Linked DNA regions of Schizosaccharomyces pombe. Changing the gene in region 2 together with the main gene of any one other region gives a genetic interaction. Each region holds a gene or a part of one and is shown on either strand. Other genes may lie near its edges.

What was found.
Region 1: of cnp1 (region 2) and ams2, extra expression of one rescues a mutant of the other (dosage rescue), as found in Schizosaccharomyces pombe (2 studies listed by BioGRID).
Region 3: of cnp1 (region 2) and spt6, extra expression of one is lethal in a mutant of the other (dosage lethality), as found in Schizosaccharomyces pombe (one study listed by BioGRID).

The regions. Positions count from the first base shown.
Region 1 is NC_003421.2:1,999,084-2,004,864, reverse strand, and holds ams2 (GATA-type transcription factor Ams2), read right to left. Parts: upstream 3,707-5,781; 5' UTR 3,574-3,706; coding exon 3,534-3,573; exon of another isoform or gene 3,437-3,533; coding exon 1,383-3,436; 3' UTR 501-1,382; downstream 1-500. Other genes in the region: serine/threonine protein phosphatase PP2C catalytic subunit Ptc1, read right to left, coding at 1-186; nucleoporin Nup186, read left to right, coding at 5,549-5,781. UniProt on the Schizosaccharomyces pombe protein: Required for proper chromosome segregation via regulation of CENP-A localization to the centromere.
Region 2 is NC_003423.3:3,536,370-3,541,025, reverse strand, and holds cnp1 (centromere-specific histone H3 CENP-A), read right to left. Parts: upstream 2,523-4,656; 5' UTR 2,426-2,522; coding exon 2,063-2,425; 3' UTR 1,823-2,062; coding exon of another isoform or gene 1,334-1,822; 3' UTR 863-1,333; downstream 1-862. Other genes in the region: adi1 (acireductone dioxygenase family protein), read right to left, coding at 268-804; pth3 (peptide release factor), read left to right, coding at 1,334-1,822; RNase P subunit Rpr2, read left to right, coding at 3,143-3,466; signal peptidase complex subunit Spc1, read right to left, coding at 3,601-3,666, 3,722-3,808, 3,854-3,937. UniProt on the Schizosaccharomyces pombe protein: Histone H3-like nucleosomal protein that is specifically found in centromeric nucleosomes. Replaces conventional H3 in the nucleosome core of centromeric chromatin that serves as an assembly site for the inner kinetochore.
Region 3 is NC_003424.3:4,211,976-4,218,878, reverse strand, and holds spt6 (transcription elongation factor Spt6), read left to right. Parts: upstream 1-2,017; 5' UTR 2,018-2,075; coding exon 2,076-6,173; 3' UTR 6,174-6,403; downstream 6,404-6,903. Other genes in the region: ATP-dependent RNA helicase Has1, read left to right, coding at 1-1,461; mrc1 (claspin), read left to right, coding at 6,536-6,903. UniProt on the Schizosaccharomyces pombe protein: Histone H3-H4 chaperone that plays a role in maintenance of chromatin structure during RNA polymerase II transcription elongation thereby repressing transcription initiation from cryptic promoters.

The sequences.
Region 1 (5,781 bases), on a different chromosome or scaffold from region 2:
CGAGTTACCAACTGGGACTGTGTTGCCTTTACTATCCTTCATCTCAATTGCAATCGGTCGAGTTTCTCCATCCGCCGAATGATCACTAGCGTTTTTTCGATGTCCACTTGTAGAATTTTCAGAAAATGGGTTCAACTTGTGAAGTGGTTCCAACAGGGAACCTGCATTTGGATGGCTTCCCTTCATATTCGTTCAAACACTTCAGTACCGACAAAAAAATTGCTTTTCAAATTAACTAAATACCTTCAATTATAATATCAGGTATAAAATTGCTGATTGTATAGTATATACGAGAAACACCGATTTTCCTTGGGTTTCTGCGTAAGTATAAACTTGTTAAGTCAGTCAGTGCTAATAAACTCGGGCATTTACGTCACGCGTGGTATACCGAGATCTTCGGAAATCATTTTTACGTACTAGGTTAACTTCCACTAAACCGTTATCCGCTCTGCATTGAACTACATTATAATACAAAAATGCTAACAAAAGGCTATTAGAAAATTAGAAATAGTAAGCAGCAATAAGCTGTTGTTTTGAATATATGAACTAAACGTTTGATTTATTCTAGACAAAAATATTGAACCATGTATTGAAATCCTTCGACTTTTACACTTGCTTTCGCGTGACTTTGGTTCGCATTACTGAAAAAAATTTGTCATGTGTTCGTCTAGTGAATTTGCTAAATATCAATTATCCGGTCTACCCATAATAATCAATTAGAAACGTTTCGCAACATAAACATGCTAACAAGAATAACAGTGTTCATATAAATAATTAAAAGTAACTTTTTCCGTATGTAAAATAAGGATGTGGCTTTGTCCATATCGGCTTTCATAATACAATTAATGAAATTATAATTTGTTTGTATAAGCAAAACAGACAGAACTATCACGAAGTATCCAAAATTTCCATAAACCGAGCCTCAAAGATGAAGTCGAAGAACATTTGAGAAGATTAAAAGAAATAGTGTCCAACTTCTATTTTGCGACAAGATTTATAGAATGCTTGTCGCATGCTCTTGGCTATGCCGCCAACAATAAGCAACGACTTGAAATATTTTAATAATCAAGGGGGAGGTAATAACGGCTCATGGTATGAAAGAAAATAAAATAAATTGCTTTAGAAATAAAAAGAACGAAGGACGGATTTGAGGGGACATGCCTTGGGAGTTCTTACGCAGTAAGGACTTTAACAGCAACAATCATTTTTTTGCGGTTAAGAAAACGAATTAAGGATGTCATTATCAAAATAAAAATCATAAAAAAGCAAGAAGACTCGAATAATGAAAGATGTCAATTTTGATCACACATGACTTCTTGATAAAACAAAAAATTAAAGAACAAGGGTAATGTGTGAAGCAAAGGTACGCCTTTATCGCTCTTTCAACAAGTGTTTTCAACGGATAAATGCCTGTCAGCAGGGACCATGGGCGGACTACTTGGCATCACCAAATCTGTCATCAGAGGAATATCGCGTCTTTCTTCATTATCGAGTTGAGAATTCAACCCCAATTCTAAAGAAAAATCATATCTTTCTGGTAATTGAGGTGAATTCTCAATGTTATTGGATTTTGCAACCGAAGACAATGCCTTTGATAAATCAAACTTTGGCTTATGCCTTGGTGTCAATACGTTTTGGTCAGGGTCAGACAAAAATAACTCTGACCTCCAGGGTGATGGACTTTGTTGTTGCTTTTGTAAGGTAGTTGGTTTTGGAGGGGTTCTGAAATAGCACTCTAAATCATCATTTTCTTTTTCTGAATCGCAAACAGGCAGAGTTGGCTCTGTCTCTTCTTTATTTACTTTAGGCATAGGCTTTGTTGTGGTTTTCAAAGGAAAAGCGACGTTTTCCTTGTCAGTACACATGAAATCAGTTTTTCTTAAAACATCATTTTGTATATTGGCACTTAGTGAATTTGGTAATACCAGCCAACTATCATTAGACCCAATTTCGGATAAAGGCTCACGAAATGATGTATCAGGAGTAGGTGCAACAATGGGAGATGATTGTATGCGTCTGAGGTCATTTTTCAGCTTAGCAGTACGGGGACCTCCTCTGGATTTCTGCTGATTAACAACAGAGGGTTTTGAGATATGATTGGGATCAGGTGCAGAGTGTGTTGAGTCTAAAGACGTAAGTCTATTCAGAGGAGAGTGCCGTCCTGCATTTTCAAGCTCACGGAAGATGGATATAGATAGTTTTCGTTGCTGGGAAAGTTTATATACGGCTAACTCAAGCTGAGCAAATGCATCATTTTCCAACGGTTTCTCTGTTTCAAATGCTTTATAGGTAGACCATAAATTTCTTGGACGCATCGAGCGCCGACTCGTCCAATATATACCACATGCATTACAAAGCATCAAAGTTATGTTCATGTACGTAGCATTGCGCCAATTGGCAGTTTTGATGGTTCCACAGTTTTGACAATATGGTGGAATTTTCCCTTCTTGCAAGCTCAAGGTAAGTTGTTCTTCAATTCGATTCTTCCCACGTACATTGGTAAACTTTTTCTCAATGCGCCCACGAGCTATTCGAACTTGTTCTTTAATAAATTCATGAACTTGTTCACGTTCAGATGGATTTTGTAGCTGAGCTGCAACATAAGCCGACTCTGGCGAAATGGTGCTACTTTCACGTCGGCGTTTTTTTGTGCTTACTGCAGAATTTACAGTAGTAGACGACGCAGAACATACAGGGTCAGTAGCAGGATGGTCAAGCGCCGCTTGATGATCGAGTATGTATGGCTCAGAGAAAGAAGTTGCAGAGCATGAAATGTCATTTGACGCATGGAACAAAGAATCTAACTCAAGCTCTTCAACATTTGTTTCAGCTAATGCGGAGGGACGTGAAGGAGATTTTAATTCGCGGACAGACTTTTGTTTGGAAAGACCGTTTATGTTGACAGGACATGTATAGTTCGTATCAAACAAAGATCCAGAAATAGAATCGGATTTTTCGGAAGATGATGGATCAAATATAAGAGATGGAGGTAAAGTGGAAGATAAAAATTTAGAAGACGTATGTGTTTCTGGAGTTCCAACCTCGAAGGAGTTCTGCAAGGATTGGAATCTCAACTTGATTTCTATGGACCGTTGAATACCGAACTCTACAATAAACCCATTCACCCAAACTGTGTCGGAATTTGACGTGCCAGCATTAAGAGTAGGAGATAACAACAAAGAAGACCAATAGCCTAGTCCGACGAAGAGTTCATCTGGTTCCGTATGGTCTAAAAAATACACGCTAAAATCACCTTGTGATTTGCAACTCAATTCAGGACTACAGCGGCAAACTGTTTGTATAACATGCTGAATGTCTACCTGGCAAATCACTTTTTTCGGTTCCACTTCCTTCAGCACCTGAATGGGCACAGCATGTTGAGACTTTGCTAAACAGCGAATCGCGGATGCGCGATCAATACAATAAATAACACGAACTAAACACAGACAAACATTAGAAAAAATGAATAAAATTATGAAAGACAAATGAAGAGCTAAAGAGCAAAGCCATTTAGCTGGAAAAGCAAGACATACGAGGTAAAGACGTTACCGTGTTCAGAGACTTTTCCATCATTGTTCGCGAAGGGGAGACAATGGCTTGGGTCTCGTAGCTTCAAGAGTTCCTCCTCCTTCAACGAACGAACACTTTGACAATCAATTCGTATTCTATAGGGGAATATCGATGAAGAATGTGTTGTGTTGTTGGTGGGTTAAATCTTTGGCTAGCATGAAATGAATGTCGAGTCGCGCTTCCTAATGAAAATTCCGGGCATCCAAAGATACAGTAAATTTTAAATTTTATAATAAAAATGTATATGAATGTCTATTTTTTAAAAAAATAACGCGTGAATTATCGCGTTTTCGAAGATATTTGAACAACCCAGTTTTTGACTTGATTTACTTAAGACTTTAGATACGCTCGAAACGACACTAATCCCCATATTGTTACTTGGTAATGTGTGTTACCTAATGTTTGGAATTTTATAACAAATGGTATTTCCATTATAAAAAGTAAAATAAAGGCATTGAAAGCATAAATTATTTATTTTTCAATATATTATATAATTGCTAAATTCCTATATTTATTAATGAGTAGGCAATATCGTTTACTCTCATGGATGCTGAACTTTTCCAAGCTCACTATGACCGCCGAAGCTAAAAGCGATAATGGTAACTTTTAATTTCTGGCAAGTAAAATTCTTTGAGCATCACTTTTCTTGTGCTCTTTATATAATTGTTAGGAATTGAATGCTTTTATGTTTATTAAGGTTGTTACAAAACAGGTTGGTATCATTATTATGACCAAAATGAGAGCTTGAACTTATGTACTTATATATATAAGGTTAAAAAGTATTCTAGCTCAAGGTTTATTTATGATTATTATAATATCGAGTATATTTAGACTTGTAGAGGTGATTTATACGGCCGCTGCTTCAATAACAAGTAAACGTGATAAATGTAACAGATTATACTAAAAATGAAACAAGAGACTTTCTTGGTGTGCTAGTGATCGGAAGCACGAAGCGCGCAATTGAACACAAGTCATACAACTATTTAAAACCAATGCTACTCTAAGTTTTCTTTTTTTTTAAAAAAGATATGCTTTTGTATTTTTCTTTGTATTTATGATTGCCCTTTTTACGATTTCCACCGCATCGAATTTGTCTTCTCACGATAAATGTTTACACTAGGCACTAGGTATGCTGAACATTCAATTGTACAGCTGCCCAGTCGCATTTAAAAAGTATTGGAAATCTTTTTATTATAAAGCCCTTTGTTATGCAATTCAGCAAGTTATATACTGAAGATTTTGGGCTCTCTAACTTGTCTGTAATCACCATTGAAACTGTAACACACATGGGATGAATAGAGAATATTTTACAAAAGAAAAGAGAGGGTTTTAAAATACAATGAACGAAAGGGATTTCTGCTATGAACTCTGAACTTCCTCATTGAAGGTACAACGAGTAAATTAAATTAAGTTAACAGTTATTATAGCAAATTAGAGATTATAGGTATGGTAGACGAGGAAAAAGTTAATTCAAATACTCTTTCTAAAAGTTGTATTTTAATTAATCCTTATAGTACTTTAGTACTTTCGTTGTGAATTTTAAGAGCTATTCGAAACTGTAGTATCACTCATTTCATTGGTCACTCAAGGAGCTTTCGAAAACGAAAAAGTTGTAAAATTAATTTTGTTTATTAGTTGTATATTATTTTATCCTTTATACCCACATGGCATTGCATGCTGGGTTTAACGGCTCCCCAAGCAACTTAACAAAAATATTTTCATCAATCTTGGTAATAAAACACGATATTTTCAAATTATAATATAACTTTTTAGTCGTACTAGAGTTGATATCTTCGAATGAAGAATTTCGCTACTGCCTAAATAGCATTCTGTTATTATTCTCTACTTTACTATATACCTCCTTTTAGGACCAAACTCGACAACTAGGCCAGAACATCATAAAACCTGGATTCTTCCACACTCTTTTAATTTTAAGACAACTGCAGGTCGGTTCCCATTAGTTTTGAGAAGCTGTACCATGGATGTCTGGGAATCTCAGCACTTTTCCGCTCTTTTATACTTATTGCAGTGTATCGAAAGTAATCCCAGCAATCCAAATGTTTCTTCTCGTTTGTTAATACAATGTCTTGAATCCTACTCAAAGGATTTTCTAAAATTTTTGGCTTTAGATCCAGCTAATGCTAATTCTCGCAAAAAATTGGAATCCGGTGAAGTTGAATTAGGCGGTGTAATCAACAAAGTCAATGAGCA
Region 2 (4,656 bases):
AAAACGTTAAGCGGCAAAAGGTAGGCAGTGAGTAGGTAGGGACTGTTGTGTCGTAGCGAGATGAAAGAATTGTGTGTATTGAAAGCTGCATTCCAATAAGCAAATACAATCAGTAACTTAAAATAATATGATCATAAATGATTAGTGACTATATTTATTACTATCTTTATTGTACATTAAACCCTTATAAAGGAAGTTTCTTATTAATATCTAGTGTTAATCCATACGTAAGATTATTGATATAAATCAGTTGTTGCATATACCTAATTAAACATAAACACTTTTTTTAATACTGTTCAAATAACTTTTTCGTGCATCCAGTTCCTCGCTGGTTGAATCTGTGCGAGACAATGCAATCCATTTTGGATTTTCATGAAACAAGCGCATTGCGTGTATATAGTCATCAGTGGTCGTAGTAAAACGATGATAAATTCCAGGAGGAAGTATTATTAAGTCGCCTTTCTCAACAAAAATTCGAACCCATCTATCATCGACAGAACGGACATCAAAGTAACCATTACCATCGAGAATTAATCGAATTTCCTCATCTTCGTGCAAATGTTCTTCAAAGAACTTCTTTACCATATTGTCATAACGATCTCCAAGTCCTTTTCTACTAACAACAACTTCATCCCGATTTTTAAATCCATATTCTTTCATAAGGCCATCGGCGAAGGTATGTAGATCTCCATCATGATGTCTATAGGACACTTTAGCAGCTTCTAAATCTTCAGCTGAAACTTCAATCTTTGAGTCATTCGGCTTTCTTTGATCGCCTTCGTCTTGGAAAATGTATGCTCTCATTGATGTTATTTTTATGTTGAGTCACGAGCAAATTAAAGAAAATTAAGACTTTTTTAAATTATTGAACGAAAAACTTTAGACTAAACAGAAGAGGTGTCAATTGGAAAGCAGGCAAAACACTACTCGAGTGAGAGTAAAGGTGAAAATAAAAAAAAAAAAAAAAATTCTTCTGTGCATGTAATGTAATACAGTATCTATTGCATTATGCCAAACAAATATTATTGGGGCAGTGTGACAATAGAATATTACATTAAAGAGTTTTAAACTTATGCAATAAGTGCGCAATTTTGTTCATCGATATTCCAACATCGTGAATTTTCTGCTAATTTAGAAGTTTCTGTTTTCTTCTTTTTTGTAACAGTAACCTTTGAGAAAAGCAATAATACAAAATCCCCTTATAACTTTTTAATGTATTAAGCAAGTTTCACGCTAATCAACCAGACCGCCTATTATCATTCCAAAGGACAAGGTTGTTTATTTTAGTCAAGTTTGTCTATTTATTAGCAGTAACACGTTTAGGTGAACATAGATGCTGTGCGCAGCACGAAAGTGTTTGAACAAAACATTTATTTCAGTAAGACTAAATGCATTTTCTTGTCTGGCAGAACTAAATTTTCGGCATACATGGTATTGCTCTAAAAAAGAAACACCTTATCAACTAGAAAGACTCCAAGAAGAAGATATTGAGGAAACATTTATATGTGGAAAGGGCCCTGGTGGACAAAAAATAAATAAAACTAGCATAGTGGCCCAAGTCAAACATATTCCGACGGGAATTATCGTTCGATCTCAAGACACACGTTCACGTGAACAAAATCGTTGTATTGCAAGGAAACGGTTAACGGAGAAAGTAGATGAATTCAAACACGGGAACGATAGTCTTTTAGCAAGAAAAGTTCAACGTATTGTCAAGAAGAAAAAACAGCGAGAGAAAAAAAGTAAAAGGAAGTATGGAAATAAGATTGATGACCAGGATTCCAGCCTGAATAATAATGAAGCGAAACAAGACGTGATCTAATTTGCGTTGCTTCGGTACTCACATGGCATTAACTAGGAGTGAGATTTATCATTCATTATGAGCATATTCGTACATTTTTTTTAATAATTCTTTGGTAGATAGCATGCTTAGAGTCTTATAATGAGTAGCTAAAGATCTGTCTCAAAATCACCTGATATCAATTAAACTGATCATACCTTAGCAATTCCAATTTCAATATGATTAAGCGTAAAACTATTTTTTTTTGTTGAATATATAGTGTCAAGCACCACGAATCCTCCTGGCTAATTGCATGTCTCGTTGCATAATCGTCACTCGTTTAGCATGAATAGCACATAAATTCGTATCTTCAAATAGATGAACCAAGAACGCTTCAGCCGCTTCCTGAAGACATTGCAGTGCCGTAGATTGCCAGCGCAAACCAACATCCGTTGAAAAATTGGCTACAAATTCTGAAGATATCTCTCGTACAATTCTTGAAAACGGGAGCCTTTGTATTAATAAGTCTGTAGACCTTTGATATTTTCGAATCTCTCTTAACGCCGTAGTACCTGGACGATATCTCTTTTTACGTGGCCGTGGAATAGGATCTCCAGGCTCAGCCATTAAAGATTTCTTTGCCATATTAAGTTGTTCCTATCAATTTCTTTTGGGAATAAAGGTTTTTAAACAGTAATTGTTGGAACAAATGCAAGAGCTCGATACAATGAGTTTTGGTTTTGACAGGGGTTTGACGCGTCGCGACTAGCATAGACTCTAAATTATTTAGCTCACTATTTAAAAATGTAAACAATCAAACAGAAGTTCTTTGTCAGAAAATACTAAAGCTACTGTTTTACAAGAAAATCATTAAAATACATGAAAATATTAGGCTCTTGTTCGTTCCACATCATCAGCTAAAAAGAACAAGTATTAATAATAGCTTACGAATATATGATTTCTCACTATTTATAGGTAAGAGAAATTAATCATATAAACCCAAGCGAAACTCAAGACCGATTTTTTTTTAATTGAATAAACATATGTGCTCTCTTTATATCTCGGTTATAATTGATCCAAAAGCCTTAAAAATTTATCGTACTCTTTTACAAAGAATTACATAACGCAGTTTACCGTGGAAAAACAAATTAAAAATTTGACCTATGGTAAAATCAGACTGCAACAAGCATTAACTATTTATTAATTAATTTAATGAAGGATTTTTATAAGAAACATAATTAAATTGTTAAGTTAAAAATAATTTTTTTGACTTTTGCATTCCATTATAAAAACGGAAAGTTGTTTGTTCTCTGTTTTGCAATTCCTTTAATAGCTCAAGTGTTTTAAACATAAACGGTCGAGATGAGTACAAAGTCAAAGGACCAACATGCAAGGGTATCATATTTATACCAGGCTTCGCAATTACTTTTTAGAAACGTTCAAGAACCTACATTGTCGAGACACTATATCTCTACAGCCAAGGATGTTTCACAAAAATCAGTAATGCGAATACACCCAGATATAAAGCGCACCATATGTAAAGGATGTAACTCTTTATTGGTACCAGGAAAGTCATGTTCAATAAGATTTGAGGAACCATCACGGAAAAATCCATCTATCGATCGTGTATTGTGGATATGCAAAAAATGTGCGTTTAAAAAAAGGTTTTCGGACAAAAGTTGTTAAAACATGTTTAGCATTACTTTTGGAATGAAAGATTATTTGTATTCTATAAAGCCGGAGCAACTTTTGTTTGGTATTTTGGTTCTTTAATTTCGCGAGATTGCGATTCAAGTAAAGAAAGATTCCCCATTTCCCGCTTACTCCTTTTTCTTTTGAAATTTTAAAGGGTTTTTGTTGTACATAGACCAAGCAGGAAGACACACCTATTTTTAAATGAATGTTAATATTACATGACTAGAAGCAAAAAAACTAGCTTACAAGAGCCACCAACGATGCTAAAATTAAAAACAATTTAATCACACAATAAGAATCTTGAACTAAATACCCATAAATGTACGAAATAACCTATAGATATATTAGTAAATAAATGAGATTTTATCCCTGACATACAGCACTTGTACATAGACCATAGTTCATATACTTTTGACACCTTAATTGTCCTGCAAAATCGATCGTACCTTCAAGATAGTTCATGGTATGCTTGCTCTTTCTCAAAACAGTAAAGTTGCTTTTTGTATTATGTGGTTACAACGAATGAATCTCGTTATCGTTCGGTTTACCATAATAACGTGTTGTAATCCAATAGCACGTTGTACATTGATGAATATGAAACAAAAAACAAGCAAAAAAAGAGGCATGAAAATATATAGGCAAATCGGTTGCTCCTTCATTTTCAATAGATGTAAATCAACACCTCAATGTCAAATTCGATTTGAAAATGAAAAAGCGGCTCATTGATGACCTATTAACATTATATAGAAATGATCTTTACAATTAACAGGTTAAGGTACTTCAGCGTTCATAAACGATTAATAATTAATAAAGATTCACCAACAAGGGCTTAATTTAAATGTATGTGACTTAAATCGTATATTAATTGCTTAGGTGGTTTTTTTTTTCATTTGGTGAAATTATCTTTTATTAGATGTGCGATTATCATAAATTTTGCTAGTACTTCATTGCTAAAAGAGGTCAAGTCTCCACTAACGGTATAAAACAAGCATTACACGTATACCTTAAGCAATTTGGGTCGTGCCAAAAGCAATTAGTAATGTGTAGCTGTTAAAGTTATTAGGTTCCATAAAATTAAGAGCTTATTGCTTCAAAGATTTGTCCTTTCCGATTTTAAAAGTTGAGGTCTTCTTAGGGATAATTGCTTCGGCTAATTTATAATAATTTCTAATAGATCACCT
Region 3 (6,903 bases), on a different chromosome or scaffold from region 2:
GACCTACAACTCTCTGAAAACATCCAAAAGGCAATTAAAGAAATGGGCTTTGAAACGATGACAGAAATTCAAAAGCGCTCTATTCCTCCTCTTTTGGCCGGTCGTGATGTTTTAGGTGCAGCTAAAACTGGTAGTGGTAAAACTTTGGCTTTTCTAATTCCTACCATTGAAATGCTTTATGCATTGAAATTTAAGCCTCGTAATGGTACTGGTGTTATTATTATATCTCCTACTCGTGAATTGGCTCTTCAAATTTTTGGTGTCGCAAAGGAGTTGTTGAAATACCATCACCAAACATTTGGTATCGTCATTGGCGGTGCTAATCGCCGTGCTGAAGCTGATAAATTGGTGAAAGGTGTTAACCTATTAGTTGCTACTCCTGGTCGTTTACTGGATCACTTGCAAAATACCAAAGGATTTGTATTCCGCAATTTACGATCCTTAGTGATTGACGAAGCCGACAGAATTTTGGAGATTGGTTTTGAGGACGAAATGAGACAAATCATGAAAATCCTTCCCTCGGAAAATCGACAAACCCTCCTGTTTTCTGCTACACAGACAACTAAAGTTGAAGATCTTGCTCGTATCTCTCTTAAGCCCGGACCCTTGTATGTTAACGTTGATTCTGGTAAGCCTACCTCTACCGTTGAAGGATTGGAGCAAGGTTATGTTGTAGTTGATTCTGACAAACGGTTTCTTCTTTTATTTTCCTTCTTAAAACGCAATTTGAAGAAAAAAGTTATTGTTTTCATGTCATCTTGTGCTTCTGTCAAATATATGGCAGAATTACTGAACTATATAGATTTACCAGTACTTGATCTTCATGGCAAGCAAAAGCAACAGCGTCGTACAAACACCTTTTTTGAATTCTGCAATGCCGAAAAGGGAATACTACTTTGCACCAATGTTGCTGCACGCGGGTTAGATATTCCAGCCGTTGACTGGATCGTGCAGTACGATCCTCCTGATGACCCCCGAGATTATATTCATCGTGTAGGTCGTACAGCTAGAGGAACAAAGGGAACTGGTAAATCCCTTATGTTCCTCGCTCCTTCTGAGCTCGGTTTCCTTCGTTATTTGAAAACTGCCAAGGTTTCTTTGAATGAGTTTGAATTTCCTGCCAATAAAGTTGCTAATGTTCAATCTCAGCTCGAAAAGCTTGTTTCCAAAAATTATTATTTGCAGCAGTCTGCAAAGGATGGATACCGTTCCTACTTGCAGGCCTATGCCTCATATTCTTTAAAATCTATCTTTGATATTAATAAATTGGATCTCGCAAAAGTTGCTAAATCATTCGGTTTTGCTCATCCTCCAAACGTCAATATCACTATTGGTGCTAGTGGACGAACAGACAAAAAAGAACGACGTGCGGGTTATAATAAGAAGAATCACGTTGATGTTTATTCAAAACAAAGATCATCAGCTATTTCTCAAGACAAAGAGCGTGGATGGAGCCGCTAAACTTCGTTCATATTAGAAGTTGATTTCATTTAAAAGGTTTATTTAATTCGGTTTTTCTGGCTTTTACAAATGACTTGGATTTTGAATGGTTGAAGGGAATTTTTTTTTCCTTTCATCCTTTTAATATTGGTAAATAGGGTTGTTTTCGCTCAAAAGGTTTACGTGTTTGAAATAATGGATTTCATAATTTTTATTGTAAATACCCGTGTAAGTTATTCAAAGGGAGTTTGATATCGGCTATAAATAAAGCCAAAACTAATCATTGCAACGAATGGTCGTGATCGTAACAACAACGTCTGTCTTGTATATCAAGGACTGTGGTATTTTGTAACAACAATTCAGATTAGCAGCATTGCATATTAGCTCTTGCAAAGCACTTTATTTTTATGCTTATATGTACGATTGAATATTTGTTAGAACTACAAAGCACGTTGCGTTGTCTTATAACATACTAGTGAATTTTAATGTGCTCCTTAAATGTTTTATGATGCTGCATTAACTTTTATTAAAATATCACCATCTAAAGCAAGCGCATCTTCAAGTATTGTATTTCTCTGCCACAATTGACCGCAAACCTTCGAGAAGCCGTTCCTTCGTCCACTATAGAAATAGGAATGAGTGAAAACGAAGTTGTCGGGTCACCAACCACCAATGGTGATAAAAATGAGGATGGTTATCCAGCTGAAAATGGAGAAGGCACAAATGTGGATGACAACAACAATGAAGAGGAAAAGGATGGAATTCCTTTAGATAATGACAATGATGAGAATGACTCTTCTGAAGAATCTGCAACTGATGAAGAAGCTGAGCGACAAGTTAGAGAGGGTTTCATCGTCGAAGATGAAGAAGACGAAGTTCCTCAGGAAATTCGGCGCAAAAAGAAACGTAAGAAGCATGCCGAAAGTACTGCTGATCAAGATATGCTTGATGAGGAAGATCTGGAACTTGTCATGGAGAATACAGGCCAAGGCTCTCGTTTTTCTAAGTTGAGACGTTTAAAACGTGGAAGAGATCAAGAAGAGACTCTTGAAAACATATTTTCTGAGGAAGAAGAAGAAGAAGAAAACGAAGTCGATGATGAAGCTCCTAATCGCACGCAAGGCCACCGCGCTGGCGTTATCGACGAATTTGCAGATTTCATTGAACAAGACGAATTTGAAGACGAAGAGCGTCAAGAAGAAAAATATGAGACTGGTCCGCCCATAGAATCAGTACGACCTGAGGCTTTAGGAATATCGGATGATGATTATATACAAATATACGAAGTCTTTGGCGATGGAACAGATTACGCATTTGCCCTTGAAGATGAAGATGCTGAAGACGAGTTAGAAGAGTCTGTCAGTTTGAAGACCATTTTTGAGCCCAGTGAACTAAAAGATAAAATGCTTACCGAGGAGGATGAGATCATAAGAATCACGGATGAACCTGAACGTATGCAACTTTATATGAAGAGGAACATTGATTGCTCTGAAGATGAATTTAGGGAACAAGTTGCTTGGATTATCGATTATCTCTTAAAAAATAGGCGTGATATTGATGCTGAACTATATGAGCCGTTTCAAACTGCTGTTCGCTATGTAGTTCACTTCTTTATTCGTGATAGTCTTGAAGTACCCTTCATATGGCAGCACCGTCGTGATTATATAGTGCATAACAATCGTGAGAGGAACACAATTACTCCTTTATTAAGTCAAAATGATTTGTGGAATATTTTTTTCCTTTGCACCAAGTTTTGGTCACTTCATTCTAAGAAGCAAGATATCCTAAAATTGTACTCTGATTTGGGAATTAATGATGATTTAGTAGTTCCCTTCTGTGAAGCTGCTTCCTCTCTTGATGCAATTGATGACCTTAATGATTACATACATTTCACTTATTCTGAACAAATCCGTGATCGTGCCTTACTGATGGGTACTGGTCTTCGTCGTCCACAAGGTTCGAAGTATTCTTTTTTTGAAAAATTTAGAAAATCATCACTTTACAATCTCGTCAAAGAATTTGGTATGAGTGCTAAAGACTTTTCGTTCAACGTAGCACAGGGTGCTCGTCTCCGTTTTGTGGAAGACAACACCCTTTCGCCTGAAGAACTAAGTCGTACTTATGTGACAAATGAGCTGTCATCACCTGAGCAGGTACTTCAAAAGGCACGTAGAGTTTTAGCAGAGGAAATTATTCATGATCCTCAATTTCGAAAGTCTTTCCGTGACAAATTGTACAATGCTGGAGTCGTTACTGTTTTGGCCACTCAAAAAGGTGTCCGTAAAATAGGTAGTGAGCATCCTTATTATGAATTTAAGTATTTAAAACGGAAACCCTTGGGCTCGTTTGAGTTAGAGCCAATCCTATTTTTAAAAATGTTAAAGGCCGAAGAAGAGGGCTTAATTCAACTATCGATTGAATTTGAAGATCCTGATGATGTTTTTAAAGGTTTACTCGAGCTTTTTGTTTCAGATAATTTTTCTGAGAACGCAATGCAATGGAATGCTCAGAGAGAATTGGTATTAAAAGAAGTATTTAAAAGGTTTTCTGCATTAGCACCCGATGCCATACGTGAAACTTTACGTTCTCGATACCTGGACGAACTTGGAATGCGCTGCCGAAATCAATTGTTTTCAAGACTTGATCAAGCTCCCTATGAGCCCTCAACTAAAAATTTCGATCGTGGCACTATTCCATCAGTCCTTGCCGTCTCCAATGGAAAAGGTGAATCGTCTGATGCCATTATCTGCGTATTTGTTGATGATGTGGGTGAGCCTACTGATTCATTAAAACTTGCCGATCTACGAGATCTTGCTAATCAAGCAATGTTTGCTGAATTTGTCGAAAAAGTTAAGCCAGATGTTATAGGTGTTTCGGGAATGAGCGTTTCTGCTCATAAAATTCGTCAACACGTTCAAGATTCGTTAACGTCTCACGAACCAGTAGATCTAATCATGGTGAATGATGAGGTCGCTCGTCTATATCAGAATTCTACTCGTGCTGTTGATGAATTTCCTACTCTACCAACTATTTCTTGCTACTGTGTTGCATTGGCTCGGTATGTACAAAACCCTCTGTTTGAGTACGCTGCTATGGGTCGTGATTTGATGTCTTTATCATTTGATCCTTGGCAACATTTGCTTCCCCCTGATGTTCTCTGGAAATACTTGGAAACTGCGTTAGTCGATATATCTTCTTTGGTGGGTATTGACATTAACGAAGCAGTGACTAACAAATATGAAGCTAATATACTTCCCTACATAGCGGGATTAGGTCCTCGCAAAGCAGATTATGTTTTAAAGAAAATCGCTGCTACCGGTGGACGTATTGATAATCGTAGTGATTTAATTTCAAAACAAATAATGTCGAGAAAAGTTTTCATTAATTGCTCTTCTTTCTTCATTATTCCTAATGATGAGTATCCCAATATGGATATTTTAGATTCTACAAGGATACATAATGAAGACTACGAGTTAGCTAGAAAAATGGCAAGTGATGCACTAGAACTTGACGAGGAAGATATTGAAGAGCTTGAAACCAATCGAGGGGTGGTTTACCACCTTTTAGAGGAAAACGAAACAGGAAAACTTGATGAGCTTGTTCTTGAAGAGTATGCTGATCAACTGGAACGTGAATTTCACCAGAAGAAGCGAAACACTCTTGAAAAGATCCGTCTGGAGTTGAAGGATCCTTATGGAGAGCAAAGGAATGTATTCCATAAGCTGACACCTTCGGAAATTTTCCTAATGTTAACCGGAGAAAATCCAGAAGAGTTGCAAGCAGATGCAATTGTACCCGTGAATGTTAGGCGAGTTACTAATAGGTTCGTTGCCGTCAAACTCGATTGTGGAATTGATGGAAATATTAAAGCCGATGAAGTGAGTGACGATTTTATACCCCCTCCCCAATTGCTTCAGGTTGGTCAAACAGTCGAAGGTGTAATTATTTCTTTGGACGAGGCTAATTTTATGGTTGATCTTTCACTTAGAAATAGTGTTTTACAATCGGCAAATTCTAAAAGACAAACTAGCTCTCATCGTACATCTTATTGGGATACTGAGGCTGAAAAGCGGGATACTGAGAGGATGCAGGCCGAAACACAGGCTGAACAACGAGTTGCTCGCGTAATTAAGCACCCGTTATTTAAGGATTTAAATGCCTCTCAAGCCGAAGCATATCTGTCGAAAATGCAAGTTGGCGATCTAGTTATACGTCCATCTTCTAAGGGCTCTGACCATATTGTCGTTACATGGAAAGTCGCTGAAGGCTCCTACCAACATATCGATGTGTTAGAATTGGAAAAAGAAAATGAGTTTACAATTGGTCAGAAATTACTAGTAAAGGGAAGATTTGAAAAAATGACTTATCAATACAGTGATCTCGATGAGCTGATTGTTTTACATATTAAAGCCATTGCTAAAAAAATAGATGAAATGTGTATACATGATAAATTTCGAAAGGGTACACAAGCGGAAACCGAAAAATGGCTTGAGAGTTATTCTGAGGCAAATCCTAAACGATCCTGTTATGCATTTTGCTTTGATCATCAACATCCTGGATACTTTATCTTATGTTTCAAAGCTAGTGTTAATAGTCCTGTAACGGCATGGCCGGTGAAGGTTATTCCAAATGCGTTTTTTTTACAGGGCAACGTTTATGGTGATATGACTGCACTTTGCAATGGTTTCAAATTGCTGTATGCTGCTCGAACTAAAAATTTTAGACGGATGTGAGCATTGATGGTTTAAACGCTTTACTCTTATCTGCAACTACGTGACATTTGTTTTACATAATTAAAGAAAACCACCCTTGGTTTATTTCATTTTCACCGAATTTTTGGCACATTAATATTGAAATATCCCTTTTTATACAGTTGATATCTATATGTTTTTTTTTTTACAATAAATTCTCTTAATACCCTGTATTTTTATGTATATATGTTGTAGTTTTCTTGTTAATAGAGCGCAGCTTGGAAAGTCGCGACGCGTCAAGACGCGTCGCGTTTGTTGATGAATTCTAAGGAGGACTAAGAGATGTATCGCGGCAAAGCAACTACCATTACTCGTTCAATAAGAGCTTTGTGGTGCTTAAATCTATGGCATCTTTAGACGAGAACGCTGATGAGTTGCACAGAATGGATTCTTCTGATGAGGCTTCCATCAATGATGATCAAGAGGATATTTTAGATACGCCTCGCACTAGGGTGAGGAAAATGTTGGCGAGTGTTGATATGCAATTGTCTAGCAATGCTGTATCTGAAGCATCTTTGGATAAAGAGAGTACCGTTGGCAATTTAGAGAATCAGAAAAATCGCTCGTATAGCAGCGAAATCTATCTTCATTCTGATACGAATTTTTTATCTAATTTTGACTCTGCTTATGAACGTGTTAGGCGATTATTAAATCAACAAGGTGGTAAGTCTTCTCTCCAAAAAAAGGAGGTTGAACAAATTGAAACTCAAGA